Linked DNA regions of Oryctolagus cuniculus. The protein of the gene in region 3 interacts with the protein of the main gene of each other region in a biochemical or structural test. Links are inferred from orthologs where the notes say so. Each region holds a gene or a part of one and is shown on either strand. Other genes may lie near its edges.

What was found.
Region 1: of the proteins of ZAP70 (region 3) and LAT, one has a biochemical effect on the other in vitro, tested with the Homo sapiens proteins (2 studies listed by BioGRID). The link is inferred for Oryctolagus cuniculus from reciprocal best matches to the Homo sapiens genes ZAP70 and LAT.
Region 2: of the proteins of ZAP70 (region 3) and SHC1, one has a biochemical effect on the other in vitro, tested with the Homo sapiens proteins (2 studies listed by BioGRID, with this or other methods). The link is inferred for Oryctolagus cuniculus from reciprocal best matches to the Homo sapiens genes ZAP70 and SHC1.
Region 4: of the proteins of ZAP70 (region 3) and LCP2, one has a biochemical effect on the other in vitro, tested with the Homo sapiens proteins (2 studies listed by BioGRID). The link is inferred for Oryctolagus cuniculus from reciprocal best matches to the Homo sapiens genes ZAP70 and LCP2.

What each region holds. Positions count from the first base shown.
Region 1 is NC_091450.1:7,782,708-7,787,052, reverse strand, and holds the start of LAT (linker for activation of T-cells family member 1), read right to left. Parts: upstream 2,817-4,345; 5' UTR 2,566-2,816; coding exon 2,463-2,565; intron 2,332-2,462; coding exon 2,301-2,331; intron 2,188-2,300; coding exon 2,153-2,187; intron 1,959-2,152; coding exon 1,889-1,958; intron 1,763-1,888; coding exon 1,698-1,762; intron 1,433-1,697; coding exon 1,228-1,432; intron 1,142-1,227; coding exon 1,047-1,141; coding exon of another isoform or gene 1,035-1,046; intron 1-1,034. Other genes in the region: SPNS1 (protein spinster homolog 1), read right to left, coding at 3,585-3,679, 3,819-3,990, 4,185-4,283. UniProt on the Homo sapiens protein: Required for TCR (T-cell antigen receptor)- and pre-TCR-mediated signaling, both in mature T-cells and during their development.
Region 2 is NC_091438.1:43,543,337-43,545,702, reverse strand, and holds part of SHC1 (SHC-transforming protein 1), read right to left. Parts: coding exon 2,337-2,366; intron 1,522-2,336; coding exon 1,323-1,521; intron 1,247-1,322; coding exon 1,177-1,246; intron 1,073-1,176; coding exon 938-1,072; intron 775-937; coding exon 536-774; intron 1-535. UniProt on the Homo sapiens protein: Signaling adapter that couples activated growth factor receptors to signaling pathways. Participates in a signaling cascade initiated by activated KIT and KITLG/SCF.
Region 3 is NC_091433.1:110,655,661-110,659,225, reverse strand, and holds part of ZAP70 (tyrosine-protein kinase ZAP-70), read left to right. Parts: intron 1-389; coding exon 390-582; intron 583-1,025; coding exon 1,026-1,232; intron 1,233-3,023; coding exon 3,024-3,216; intron 3,217-3,307; coding exon 3,308-3,448; intron 3,449-3,534; coding exon 3,535-3,565. UniProt on the Homo sapiens protein: Tyrosine kinase that plays an essential role in regulation of the adaptive immune response. Regulates motility, adhesion and cytokine expression of mature T-cells, as well as thymocyte development.
Region 4 is NC_091437.1:57,138,696-57,142,260, forward strand, and holds part of LCP2 (lymphocyte cytosolic protein 2), read right to left. Parts: intron 2,107-3,565; coding exon 2,012-2,106; intron 1,396-2,011; coding exon 1,318-1,395; intron 1-1,317. UniProt on the Homo sapiens protein: Adapter protein primarily involved in signaling pathways within T-cells, as well as other immune cells such as platelets, mast cells, and natural killer (NK) cells.

The DNA.
Region 1 (4,345 bases), on a different chromosome or scaffold from region 3:
TCTGTCTGTCTGTCTCTCTCTCTCTCTCTGTAACTCTGCCTCTCAAATAAATAAAGTGGCAGCCCTCAGCCAGCACGAGACGCTGAAGTCTCTGTGCTTTGCCTCAGTGGCTGTCACAGCCTGGCCTCAGCCCCACGGAGGCATTTGCAGGACAATGGGTGACAAGTGAATGAATGGATGGATGGATGGATGGGAAGCAGCACTGGGACAAACTGATGCAGCCCAGGACTTGGGATGGTGAGGGACGGCAGCTTGCAGGTGCGGGAGCCAGGGACCAGCACACGTAGCAGGCGAGAAAAGCCCCGGGGTGAAACCAAACTGAAGGGAGAAAGGCAGCTCCAAGGGGAGCAGAGGAAAAGGCGCCCCCTCCCCCAGCCATGTGTGCGCGCACACACACACACACACACACACCATCAGGTCCTCAGACCGACCAGATGGCGGTGGGCACTGGGCACAGCGGTGAAGACCCTGCGGGGGATGCCCACAACCTGTATTCCCAGCTCAGAGAGCCTGGGCTGGAGCCCCCTGCCCCTCCCCCTCCACTCCCAGTTCCGGCTTCCTGCTGCGGTGTACCCTGGGAGGCAGCCGTGGACGGCTCGAGCGGCTGGGTTTCTGCCGCGCACATGGCTGAGTTCCAGGTTCCAGGCTTCAGTTAGGCTGAGCCTTGGCTGTTGCCGGCATCTGAGCCACTGCCTCTCAAAATACATTTTTGCAAAATTTCTTTTTAATCTTTAGTTAAAAAAAAAAAACAGAAATGTACAAGATGCTATTGCCTCCATGAAACAAGAACAGGGGGCTACAAAAAAGGAACATGCAGAGACCCAGAAAGAACTGGATAGGAGGGGAAAACATATATACAGCACAAGGGCTGCGAATAAAGGCAAGGACATCTCCCAGACAATAAAGGAGAAATCAAGGCCAGGGCAGAAGTCCGGCACCTGCAGCAGGGGAGCCCTGGAGAGGGAGCACAGGGGAGCGGGGTCGCTAAAACCTTCACAGGGCAGGGGAGCATGCGGGGGGGGGGGGCCCGGCACCTCCTGACTCACTGGAGAAGGCACTGTCTCGGAGACCAGGGTTTCCGGGCGCAGGGGCGGAGGGGCCAGGGCCGCTGGTGGCCGGGCTGTCATCGGGAAGCACCTCCCTGAGAGTGAACCAATGGGGGAGGGGGTGAGGAAGCTCGCCCGGGGCCCCAGCACCCACCTGCCCACCTGCCCCCTTGCCACTCACAGGTAGCCCTCATTGTGAGAGTCCTCCTCATCCTCATCTTCATCCGCGTCCTCACAGGCCAGCTCTGCGGGCAACGACACGGGGTGGGGAGAGCTCAGCACAGCCCGAGACAGGCCCCCGCCTCCCCACCCGGCTGGGCCCCCCAACCCCGCCGCCCCCGGCAGCCCAAACGCACCCTCGTTCTCGTAGCTCGCCACGCTCTGGGCTTCAAGGAGAGAGCAAGAGGGAAACTGAGTCAGCTCAGGGTTGGGCTTCCTCGGATGGGTGAGTGGGTCCCCTCCACCCTGTGCCTGTCCCCCGCAATTCCCCACGGAGGGCTGGGCTGGGGGTGGGGGGTCTGGCTCGGCTCCAGCCCCCACCCGTGTCTCTTGCCAGTTTGTATATCCCTGTGAGTTTGATCAAACCGCCCTGTGAGTAGTTGGAGGCACCCCTGCCTTCCCGGCAGAGTGGGGGTGCCCTGCCACACTTACCGCCACCAGAGTCCCTCCGGGAAGACGGCATCCGGTGGGAATCCCCAGGGGGCTGCGGAGATCTCCTGGGAATCAAAGGTCAGAGGTCACACTCAATGCCAGGAGGGTTACAGCAGGGCGGGGCGGGGGGCACTGGAAAAACAAGGGAGTAGAGAGAGATTTGGAGGCGAAGGAGTTGGGGGGCTACTCACGGGATGGGGAGCAGGTCTGGCTGGCTCAGGGGTGGAACGGAGGTAACAGCCGGCCAGGGGGCAGGGGTATCTGAGGACACAGAGCTGAGCTGGGAAGAGTGACTTCCGACCCGCATCTCCCGCCTTCCTCGAAGCCCTGGTGCCCTGACCGCCCCCCACTCCCCATCCCAGCTCAAGCCAAGGCCATGTGGGCAACCTAGAACGAGGGGACACCCAACGGAGGGAGCCTCTCTCCCGGAGGCAGGGGCGCCTCCAACTACTCACAGGGCGGTTTGATCAAGATGCTCCTGGGATACAAACTGGCAAGAGAGACACAGGTGGGGGCTGGAGCCGAGCAAGACCCCCCACCCCCAGCCCAGCCCTCCATGGGGAATTGCGGGGGACAGGCACGGGGCGGAGGGGACCCACTCACCCATCCGAGGAAGAGGCACTGTTGTAGGAGTCTGGGGGAAGAGAGCGGTTGGTGAGGCAGGGGCCAGGGCTCGGGGCGGTGGCAGGCGGAGGCAGGCGAGGGAGGCCGGGGACTGTACAGCGACTCCAGCAGGTGCACCCCCGCCCTCAAGCCCCTGCTCACCTGACAGCCGGCGGCAGCGCACACACAGGGCCATTAGCAGCACAGCCAGGAGCGGCCCCAGCAGGAGGCCCAGCGCCGAGTGTCCAAGGACGTTCACCTCCATCTGCTGGGCAGAGCCTGGCCCAGGTCCTCAGGGAAGGGCGCAGCGGTGGGGGGTAGGGGGCAGCGGAGCCCTCTGTGGGGGCTGGGCTCTGTGCAAGCTCTGGGGGACCCTAGCCCCCTAGGTCAGGCCAGGGCCCGGGCTGGGGTCCAGGGCTCCAGCCACGCCATGCAAGCGTGAGACGGGTCCCTGCACCCCAGCGGTACCTGCCCTGGGCCAGACGCCCGCCTGGCCTCGCCTCGCCTCGGCGCCCGTCCTCGGCAGGAAGCTGTGGTGAGCACCGGGTGAAGGCAGGAAATCATCGGGCTCCCAGCCCGCTGCACCGCCCCTTCCCACCCCCACCCAGCCGGTGGGGAGGGGGAGGCCTCCCCGTCAGGGTTCTCACGAAGGGACACTTGCCCGTGGGACGAGGGGCAGCTCCTCCGTGGGAGTGAAGGCCTGTGGCAAGCCACCGGGGGTCGGGGTCGGCGGCAGGCATTCCGCCAGGCAGAGGGCAGCGCCCACCCCAGCTCGCCCAGGCTGGCCAGGGGTTGTGTGCGGAGGGGGGGGCGGGCTCCAGTAAGCCCGGCCGTGACTCAGGGTCACACGGAGCCAGCTCACTGGCACGGCGGTCCTCACTGCTGGGCGCTTAGCCCCACAGCACAGGGACTGGCCCGGTGGCCCCCCGGCAGCGCCCCCGCCGCCCCCAGGAGCCCTGGGGCTGGAGATGGCCAGCCAGAGGTCAGGGGTCACCAGCATCCAGACAAAAGACTCAGGTAGGCACTTGGGGTCTGGCTACAAAGTTTATTCGGTTACAAATAGCACCAACCCCCTGGGGCTGCTCCAGTGGAGGGGACCCCACCCCTCCCCACCCCAGACCCCCAACTCCTCCCCTAGGCTGCCCATGTAGTGTCTGGGAGCTGGACAGGGCCCAGGGTCCCTCCTGGAAGCTGGGCCGGGCTGAGGGCTTAGGCCCGGGCACCTCGTGGGACGGGCCCCAGGGCCCGCGGCGGCAGATGTGCGGACAGGTGAGGGACGGCCACTCAGATGAGCACACTGGACACGGGGACCCTGGTGGAGCGGCCACGCTGCGGCACCACGATGCGGTCATCTGCGGGCCCTGCCTCGGCCAGCAGACCTGTGGGGGGCGGGGTCAGAGCCAGGGCTGGAAGGTCAGCTGGAGCAGACCCGCAGAGCCACCACCAGGAGGAGGACACAGAGCCGCCAGCCCCAGCGCTGAGACAGCGGCCGGGAGCCAGGGCGGGGCCCGCACTGACCCTGCACGTGCAGCTGCGCCCGCCGGCGGTCACCCTCGATGAACATGGCGGTGCCCAGGAAGGCGGCCCCGCCCAGCGCCCCGACGAAGGCGCAGAGCATGAGCGAGAACTGCAGGGCCCGGAACTCGGACAGGAAAGATGGCGGCCAGCTGCGGCGGAGGCGGTCGGAGATCTGCGGGGGGCAGGGCGGAGCGTCGGGGGCGGCCGGGACAGCCATGGGAAAGGGGTGGGCCCTCAGGGACTCTGCCAAGACAAAGCCCTCCCCACCCAGGGGAGGCTATAGGGTGCCCAGCGCCTGCAGCCGCCCAGGTAGGCCACCGGCCAGTGCTGGGAGAACAGGACCCCCAAGCCCGGGGTGAGGCTCACCAGGCCGATGAGGTAGGGGCTCCCAGCGTCGCCCAGCAGGTGGGACAGCACGATCTGGAAGGCTTCGGCGGTGGAGCGTCGTGTGGGGATCACCACGTACTGGGGGAGGGGGGAGGGAGGGGCCTCAGTGGAGGCTCTCGGCGAGGTGGGGGGGAGAGGTG
Region 2 (2,366 bases), on a different chromosome or scaffold from region 3:
AGGCTTCCCTGGAAAGAGAAGCTGGAGACAGCTGTGAGAGTGGGCAGGTGAAGGAACTACAGAAAGGCAAGGGGACCTCAGTCCAGAAAGCATGAAGCCTTTCTTGATTTGGACAGGGTTGGCGTATCTCACTGTGCAAAAAAAAAAAAAAAAAAAAAAAAGTGGGAAGGAGGCTGAAATTGTACAGAAGAGAAATGGAAGTTTTGAGGAGCAGTGAGACACTGAGTGTTAAGAGAAAGGACACTGGTCTGGGGACCTGGGGAGGCCCCCGGCTCCTCCTGCACGTGTGTGGCTCCTCACCACTGGCTATCACAACCTCTCCCCGGGGGTTTCCTCATCTGTCAAAGGAGGGACACAGAATAGACGAGCACCGTCTGGCTCTGAGGGGCTTAAGGTTTGGGGATTGGAGTACCGGCCAGGGCTGTAATGAACACAGCTCAGGCACAGCGCTGAGGGCGCTGGAGGGCGGGGCCGACAGCTGCGACTGCACCAGAGGGTACTTCCGACCACCCACGTCCACACCTCTGTCACTCACCACACCCTCGGGGTCCACCAGGAGCAGGTGCTTGGGCTGCCCGCTCTGCAGGCCGGTGAGCACGTACTGGCCAGGTGTGGTCGTGCTCTCCCGCACCAGGAAGTCCCCGTTGAGCTGCAGCAGCGCCTCAGCCTCCCGCCGGCTCAGCTTCCCATGGAACCAGGGCTCCCTTTGGAGCTGCTCAGCCATGGACACCGACTGGGGAGGTGCAGGTACCCGAAGCGCATCTTCAAAGGGCTCTGGGGGGTTACAGAGAGAGCAAGGAGCAGCAGCTGGCACAACACACTCCCGGGACGGAGACCTTCAGGGAAGGGAGGCCAGGAATGAAAGAGCAGAAAGGCAGAAGAGACGGAACCAGGTGGGAAGGCGGGGACGAAGCAGAAAGGAGAGAGGAGTACTCACTCATGTCAAAGAGGTCCCGGGGTGCGCTGCCATTGGCGGTCGCGTTGGGGGGCCCAGCCCCTCCCCCTGCCTGCCGGGCCTTGTCTAGGTTTTGGACGTTGACGTAGGAGGGATCATCAAAGAGCTCTCTGCCTGCTGCGGAAAAGGATGCTCCGTGGTGCTCCTGGCCCTGCCTGCTGCACCCCCGGCTCTTCCCTCCTCAGCTCACTCGCTCCCTCTCTCTCTGCCTCCCTTCATACCCGGGCAAGGTGGTTGAGGTGGCATCTGTTTGCGGACTTCCGGGTCTCCTCCCACAGGCTGCCCTACGGGCTGCAGGGATAAAGGAAGGTGAGACCAGCAGTCCTAACCAGCCTGGGCCCAGCCCACCTCCATCCTAGCAACTTACCAGGGTAGCTCCCAAGTGGCTGGGGGTCTGCGCACTGGGTGGAGCAGGTCGAACAGTCCCTGGGGCAGCTCCTTCCCGGAGCCTCATGTCCACCACGCCCCCCAAAGGGGGTTCCTTCCCCGGGAAGTCATTATAGTACTGATGGTCGGGTAGCTCTTCCTCCTCCTCATCCCAAGCTGATCCATCAAAGCCGGCCATTCTGGGAGGGACAGGAAGGCACAGGAGTGTGAGTACGCAGGAGAGCCGGGCAGGGCGAGGGGAACCCCACAGCACATCACACACACAGCGAGCCTTCAGTCCGCAGGCCTGAGGCTGGGTGTTTCCCAGGTACAGTCATTTCACCCTCCTGGTTTCCCTCCCTAGTTTTATAGAGGAGGAAAATTAAGGTGAGAGGTGAAAAGATTTATCCAAGATCTCCCAACTAAAAGGTGCTATAGGCAAGATTTAAACTCAGCTTTGACTTTACAGCTCATGCCCTTGACCACCAGGCTATTTCCTGAGAGGAAGGGGAAGCACGAAATAGTGGGGAGGGCATGTGCCGGAGGACTTGAACTTCCAAATACACCATCCCTACTGGCCCACTGCTCATTCCTTAAAGCCTACAGTGGGAAAGGAAGGGGTCTCAGGACAAACAGCCTTCCTCCAAGATCCACGAGCCTGGTGGCTTCTAGAAATAGGAAAACACAGAAAATGAAAGAGAAATAGGCAAGAAAGAGGGCGAGGCTAGTAATGAGGTGGCGGCTGGGAAGAGAAAAGCTCATTCAGCCAGAGAAAGAAATGCAGTTTGGAGGCCCTGAAATACAGCCCCACCACAGGCAAGCGAGAGGAAGAGCTGGCCCTGCAGCAGGCGGCCTAATGGCCACCGGAAACCCAAGAATCGCAGGAAGTAGGAAGCAGGGCACACAGGTTATTTCTTTCCCTGAACCTCCCCGAGCTCTGGCGTGGGAAGAGTAGACCTGCATTCCCAATCTGGGTCTGGGGCCCAACAGCTGGCCCACACCCCACCGTGCTCACCTGTCATGGGGGGTGACCAGCTTGGGTGGG
Region 3 (3,565 bases):
GAGGCGTCGCAAGCATGACTGTGGTGCACACAGGGACAGACCTGATTGTAGCTGTGCATGTGTGTACGCGTGTGTGTGTGTATGTGTGCGCGAGTGCACCAGCTGGCACCCTGTGGGTGACACGTGGACACTGTCGCACGTGCTTCCAGAGCCCACCTGCACATGGCTCTCCAGGCCCCCACAGATGTGACCAGCAGTGTGAGCAAGTGCACATGTGGACACACACACACACACACGAACATGTGTGCCCTCACTTGCCTGTGTGTGCTCTGGGCGGGTGCCCTTTGGCTGGGTCATGTGCTGTGTGGGTGCTGAGTTGCCTTGCCCGCCCTGCCCTGGCCCCTGTCCCCACCCTCTGCCCGGGACTGCACGGCTGTGTGTGTCCCTAGCGCGCCTAGCTTCCCCAGAGAAGCCGCGGCCGATGCCCATGGACACGAGCGTGTATGAGAGCCCCTACAGCGACCCTGAGGAGCTCAAGGACAAGAAGCTCTTCCTGAAGCGTGAGAACCTCCTTGTGGCTGACATTGAACTTGGCTGCGGCAACTTTGGCTCCGTGCGCCAGGGCGTCTACCGCATGCGCAAGTATGGCCGCCCCTGCAGCTGTGGGGGGGGCAGTGGGGGGGACAGTGGGTGCTGGGATGTCTGTCTGTCTCAGAGACAGACTCTCGGACAGGACACTGCTTGTTGGAGGCCTCCCCGAGACAGATTGGAGGCACTTGGGGAGCGGCAGATGGAGGTCTGGGCCAGGGAAGGGTTGGGCTGAGCTGCACAGCCCCTGCCTCCCCTGGCCCCTGCCTCTGCTGCTGCTGGTGGGATCCAGGTCACCCTGGGGAGGTTGTCACTGGCAGGGGTGGTTTTCAGTGAGGGCCCTGGCTATGAGTTGTCTTCTTGACCACTGGAGGAGTGAATGCCTTGGCCTCAGTCGGGGCGGTGAGCATCATGCGCGCAGGGGAGAAGAGAGGTGGGTGCGTGGGAACAGGGCTGGCTCAGCCCTGTGTGTCCTGCCTGGCTGTGCATCGTGGCAGGAAGCAGATCGATGTGGCCATCAAGGTGCTGAAGCACAGCACGGAGAAGGCGGACAAGGACGAGATGATGCGTGAGGCGCAGATCATGCACCAGCTGGACAACCCCTACATCGTGCGGCTCATCGGCGTGTGCCAGGCAGAGGCCCTCATGCTGGTCATGGAGATGGCAGGCGGAGGGCCCCTGCACAAGTTCCTGCTGGGGAAGAAGTGAGTTCCCCCCGGGGCAGGCCTGTGGGTCGGGGCTGTGGGCGAGGGTGTGTGGGGCTCATCCCGTGCAGCCCTGGGTGGGACGGCACTCACACTGCTGCTAGGGCTGTGCACACACCACACGCAGGTTCACACTTCGGGGACACCCACATGTGTCCACAAGGGGGAGCTGCCAGCTCCCTGTTCCCCCATTTGTATCACTGCAGCGATAACAGTACCTAACATCGGGACCTGACCAGCATCAACACTGCTAGGGAGGACTGCACCAGTGGCACCCAGCCTCTCGGGCCGGCTTCCTCACTGCTGGGAAAGTGCAGGGGTGGGGGTCTCTCACCTGGAGCAGCCTGCAGCCTGCAGCCTGCAGCTTGGTCTTGTGCTATAGGTTTTTTTTTTTTTGATTTATTTATTTGAGAGGCAGAGTTAGAGACAGAAGGAGAGACAGACAGAGAGGTCTTCCATCCATTGGTTCATTCCCCAAATGCCTGCAAAGGCCAGAGCTGGGCCAATCCGAAGCCCAGAGCCAGGAGCTCCTTCTGGGTCTCCCACACGGGTGCAGGGGCCCAGCAGAGAGCTGGATCGGAAGTGGAGCAGCCAGAACCCACAGGTGGAGGCTTTGCTATGATGCCACAGCGCCAGCTCCTATAGTTCATTTCTTAGAGGTTAAACACAAGAATACGGAAGAGAGCCCATAGATGGCATCTATAGGTGAAAATATTCACTCTCTGTCCCTTCACTGAAAGGCTGTAGCCTTTTCTTAGTGCCGCCTGGGGCTCCGGACTCCTGCCCTCATGGCCAGGCATCTCTGTGCTCCCTGGGGGACGCTGTGCCGCTCCACGCTCTCTGAAGTGCTCCACGCTCTCTGTGGCGCACCTGCCTTCATGGTGCGCCCTGCTCACAATCAGTCCTGGAGCGGGTATCTGTCGGGCAGTTGCTCTGTGGCAGGAGTAACTGGTGCCGACACCTGGGATCATCAGCAAATACAAGAGCAAAGATGCGTGCCCTGTTCCCTGGTTGGAGAAGTGAAGCAGTAAACAATCATGATAAAACAGAGCGGGGCACTGGAGAGAAGGGAGTAGGGCAGGCCAGGGGCACGGGCGTGCCGGGGTGGGAGCCCCAGGGAGAATGGGAGGTTTGGGCAGACTGGGGGGGGGCAGCTAAGCACAGATCCATGGGAGAACATTCCAAGCAGAGGGTACCACCTGTGCAAAGGCCCTGGGGTGGGCTCCAGTTCCCACTGTTGTGGGAACAGTGGAGACAGAGTGTGGGCAGGGAGATGATGCAAAGCCTTGTGGGCTACCAGGGGGACTTGGACTTTTGCCCTGAGTAAGGGGGGAGCTCTGGGAGGGGCAGGATCTGATGCAGCTGGGGACTGGACAAGATTGTGCGAGGCCTGGGCAGAGCTGACAGTTCTAGTCCAGGCGGTGCTGATGAGGGGCTGGTTAGGCTGTTGGAAGCAGTGGGAAGATTCCGGAGCACTTCTGACCACAGAGCTGCGGGGCTTGCTGTGAGTGAAAGGTGATGGAGGGCAGAGCGCCTGGGGAAGATGGGACGTGGCTGGGGGGGGCTCAGCCTTGGCTGCATTTGAGGAGCCTGAGGGACAAGCTTGGGGGGGTCACAGCATAGGGTGACACTTCAGCCTGGAGCCTTCTTCGCACTGTGACCCCAGCCCCAGGCCTGGCACACAGCTGGTGCTCCTCTGGCCTCTGATCTGATAGTCTGAGACGGGTGGGCTTGGTCCCAGGGGGCACTTGGGCTGTCTTCTCCCAGCTGCCCCCCCCGGCCCCACCCCAGGGAGGAGATCCCCGTGAGCAACGTGGCCGAGCTGCTGCACCAGGTGTCCATGGGGATGAAGTACCTGGAAGAGAAGAACTTTGTGCACCGTGACCTGGCGGCCCGCAACGTCCTGCTGGTCAACCGGCACTACGCCAAGATCAGCGACTTTGGTCTCTCCAAGGCACTGGGTGCCGACGACAGCTACTACACGGTGCGCCCCTGCCCTGCGATGCCCAGGCAGAGGCGGGTCGGGGGGCTGGAGGGTCCCTGAGCTCTGCCCAGCAGCATCTTCCCCTCCCCAGGCCCGCTCAGCAGGGAAGTGGCCGCTCAAGTGGTACGCGCCCGAGTGCATCAACTTCCGTAAGTTCTCTAGCCGCAGCGACGTCTGGAGCTACGGAGTCACCATGTGGGAGGCCTTCTCCTACGGCCAGAAGCCCTACAAGGCAGGCGTGGGCAGCGGCGGGCAGCAGGTGGCGGGCGGGGGAGGAGGCCTGGCCACGCACGCTGACCCCCGGCCCTGGCTCCGCAGAAGATGAAGGGCCCCGAGGTCTTGGACTTCA
Region 4 (3,565 bases), on a different chromosome or scaffold from region 3:
TCATCTCCTTTACATTCTTGCATGTGCATCATCCACCTGACTAAAAATGAATGTGGACCATCTGCGCTCTCACCACTGTTTTTCCCTGATATTTCCTAGTGCTGTGACTGTACTTTCGGTTTTCATTCTATGAATTACTGCTACCTAATAGTAACCTATAAAGATCTAACATTAAAGCAGTCGGTGAGGACTCAGACCACTTCCTCTGCTGTGTACTAAGTCGTGGAGGCTGTAAATAGCCATCCGCCCACAGCAGTGCCCTTCTGCTCTTCTCATTCCAGGTTCATTAGGCCAGTCGGAATGTTTCTGCTCAACAAGCATGTCTCAGCCTCAGCCTAGAGCTTGGAATTAGAATCGCCTGGGGAATTCTGAAGCCCCCACGGTACCCCCAACTCATTAAAATAAGACCTTTCCACTTGAGACCCAGGAATCAGGATTTTTTTTTAAACGCTCAGGTGATTCAAATATGCAGATAAGGCTGAGAAAGAATGTTCTAGAATTTAATTTAAAAAATATTTTATTTAAGAGGGAGAGAGAGGGGGGTTACCCCCAATCTGCTGCTTCTCTCCACCCATGCCAGCAATGGCCAGTACTGGGTCAGGCCAAAGCCAGGAGCAAGGAATTCAATCCAGTGGCAAAAATCCAATCCCTTGAGCCATCACCACTACTTTGCAGGGTCTGCATTACCAGGAAGCTGGAATCAGGAGCCAGACCAAGAATCAAACCCGGGTACTCCTGTTTGGTGCTAGGCCAAACACCACCCTGTTGTAGAAAGTCAGAAGTGAAAAATGAAGGCACTTTCCTTTTCCTCTCTGATAGACTTCATTTTAAGGTCCAGCACTGGGCCACAAGGGAATCTGTTTAACACATTAGATTATTAAATTCTAGGCAGAAATTTCTAGGAGAAAGGGCAAAAAGTTGCTATCTCTTTCAGTATGGGCCCTTTTGCCTTGAGAGTTGGCAGCTCCACATGAAGAGGAAGATAGAATTGATAAGATATTAGAAATTTGAGAGAAAGGGAGTACCCTTTTGACACAAACGATTCCTCCAGTAAGACAAATACTTTTCATTAATACAATCTTCTAAGATTCTACCAACCAAATGATTGCCTTAATTGAGATTTTTCTGCTATCCAAATGGTTCCCAGTTCTAGGAATCTTCCTACGGATGCTGGTAGATATGAGCTAGCACGAATGGGTCTCATAGGAAGAGCGCCAGGCAGAATTCCTAGACCATAACTGGTGCTCAACACAAGTCAGTTCCCTTCTCTTTCTATTAATATTTATAACTACTTAAAAATAAACTCTAGCACAATACCTGGTTTATCTTTCTCAGAGCAGCTTCTGCCTCCGGTCGGGTAATGTAAGAAACATACCACTCTTCATTTAATGAATTCTGAAAATATAAATTTTAAAACTGAATAAATTTTGCAGTTACATATGTAAGGGAAAAGCGAAGCTTCCAAGTAACAATTTCCATAAATCACCACCTCAGTTCCATGAGGTTTGAAACATTTGTTTGCTCAATTTGAATGCAGAATCACAAAGGTAGGGCTAAATAGAAGACATTGTGTGTGAACTGCTTTCTATCATGATATGGGTTGAAAAGGTAGTTGTGAATAAGTGTTGCTTATGTTCTGGAGCCTTTGATCAGGAAAGATAAAAGTACAACAGTTTCTTCAGTTTAATATACAGTAATAACCTATTTAATGAAAAAAACTGTTAATGAGCAGGTAAGTGACTTTTTCAAGGTCATAAGCTAGAAAACAGACGAAAAATATAATTATGTCTTACATTGTTTAATGCAAAACACACATCTGCCCCGGAGGTGTGTGCTAGAATACCAAGAAAAAGAACATATTTTTTATCTGAATCCTCCCCTTAAAATGTTTTTTGTCAAGAAAAGAACATAAAACTAGTCCATGATAAAAGTATGGAAGAGTACTCAATGGGAGGTTGTGGTGGTCCATTTGCCAGGGGGAAAAACAAAAGTTAAAACATGTGCTTCATACCTCCTCTTCCCCAGGGGATGGTGGCTGGGGTTTGCTTGGCACTGGGATGGGCAAGTTCCTGCCTTCAGCTCTGAGAGGTGATCTGTTGCTGGAGCCTTCAAAGTACACATTTTGAAAGTCAATTTACTGTAAGTTATGGTTTACCGCTGTCATCACACACACACATGCACGAGCACATGCCCGCCTTTATAACTGTTCTACTAATTAACATTTCAAGAAAACAGGGCTTCAAAAATAATGTTCACCTGTTCAAAACCACAAGGCTGCTCATAAAACATGCCAGTAAAACTTTGAGAGTGAAACCTCAAATTGAGTGACTTCCTAAATGTGCGTGAAACATGATATAAAGTGACTAGATCCGTTGATGGAAAAGTCACCATTTTCACACGCACATCAAGAGGAATATTCCAGAAGCAGATCTTTTATACACTCCAGCAAATCCACATGCCCAGAATGGATTCCCAACAGCTGGGGCAGTGACACTGCAGTGATAACAATACTCATGTTCTTGTTGTTTCATAAAGGAAATGTAAGGTACCCAAGACAAGATGAATTGAGAATATTGCTAGCTTTTAGGACCAACACTGCCTGCTGTTCTTTTTTTTTTTTAATTTTTAATGTATTTATTTGAAAGGCAGAGAGAGAGAGAGATTGAATCTTCCAAGCACATTTGCCAAAAGCCTACAACAGCTGGGGATAGGCCAAGCTCAAAGCAGAAGCTGGGAACTCAGTGCGAGTCTCCCACCTGGGTGACAGGGGCCCAAGTCCTTGAGTCATCACCTGCTGCCTCCCGGGGTATGCATTAACAGAAAGCTGGACTCCAAAGCAGAGCTGACACTCCAACTCAGGACTCTGTTATGGGATGAGGGCATCCGAGGCCTGCCACACTTGCTGTGCCTTACTGAATTCCCTAAGTGGTAACACTGCCCAGCACATAGAAGACACCGCAGAGTTTCTGTTCAACCAGGGTGACCCAGGTCTCCCATCTCACCTCCTTTAAAGCTGCTTTTGTGTTTTCAGTTCCCTGAAACTTTATGAGAATACATTTCCTTCTCACAGGAAAGCTTTGGTTGTGTTGACTGTGGTTGCCAAGGCTGTTTAGAACAGCTGTAACAAACTGGAACATTCTATTAGCTGAATGTTCTCTTCATTAGCCATCCGTCACCCACTTGTTCACTCAGCAAATGTGTCCTCGGTACTTCTCTTGTCCAGGCCTTGAGTAGGACACTGTGTGTACATTACCTTCATCCTCAGAGAACTGCAGGGTGGGTTCTGTATCTTGTGTAGGAGGAAATAGGCTCAAGAGCCTGAGCAAATTGTGTGCAACAGTGGCAGGGCAAGCCGTGGCCCCAAACATTACTGTACCTGAGTGAGAATCCCTCAGGGACTTTGACTGGCCTTGGGCCTGGGAATAGGAACGTTTACAAGCACCACATCTACATGGCTACTTCACCTGGGAAGGGCCGAGCACTTTGGACCAGGATTACTGAAGGCAGCCTTCCCTGTTTTTAAAGTAGCAGATAAGGCAGGCTCTGGGCTTCCAGCGCCTTCCTC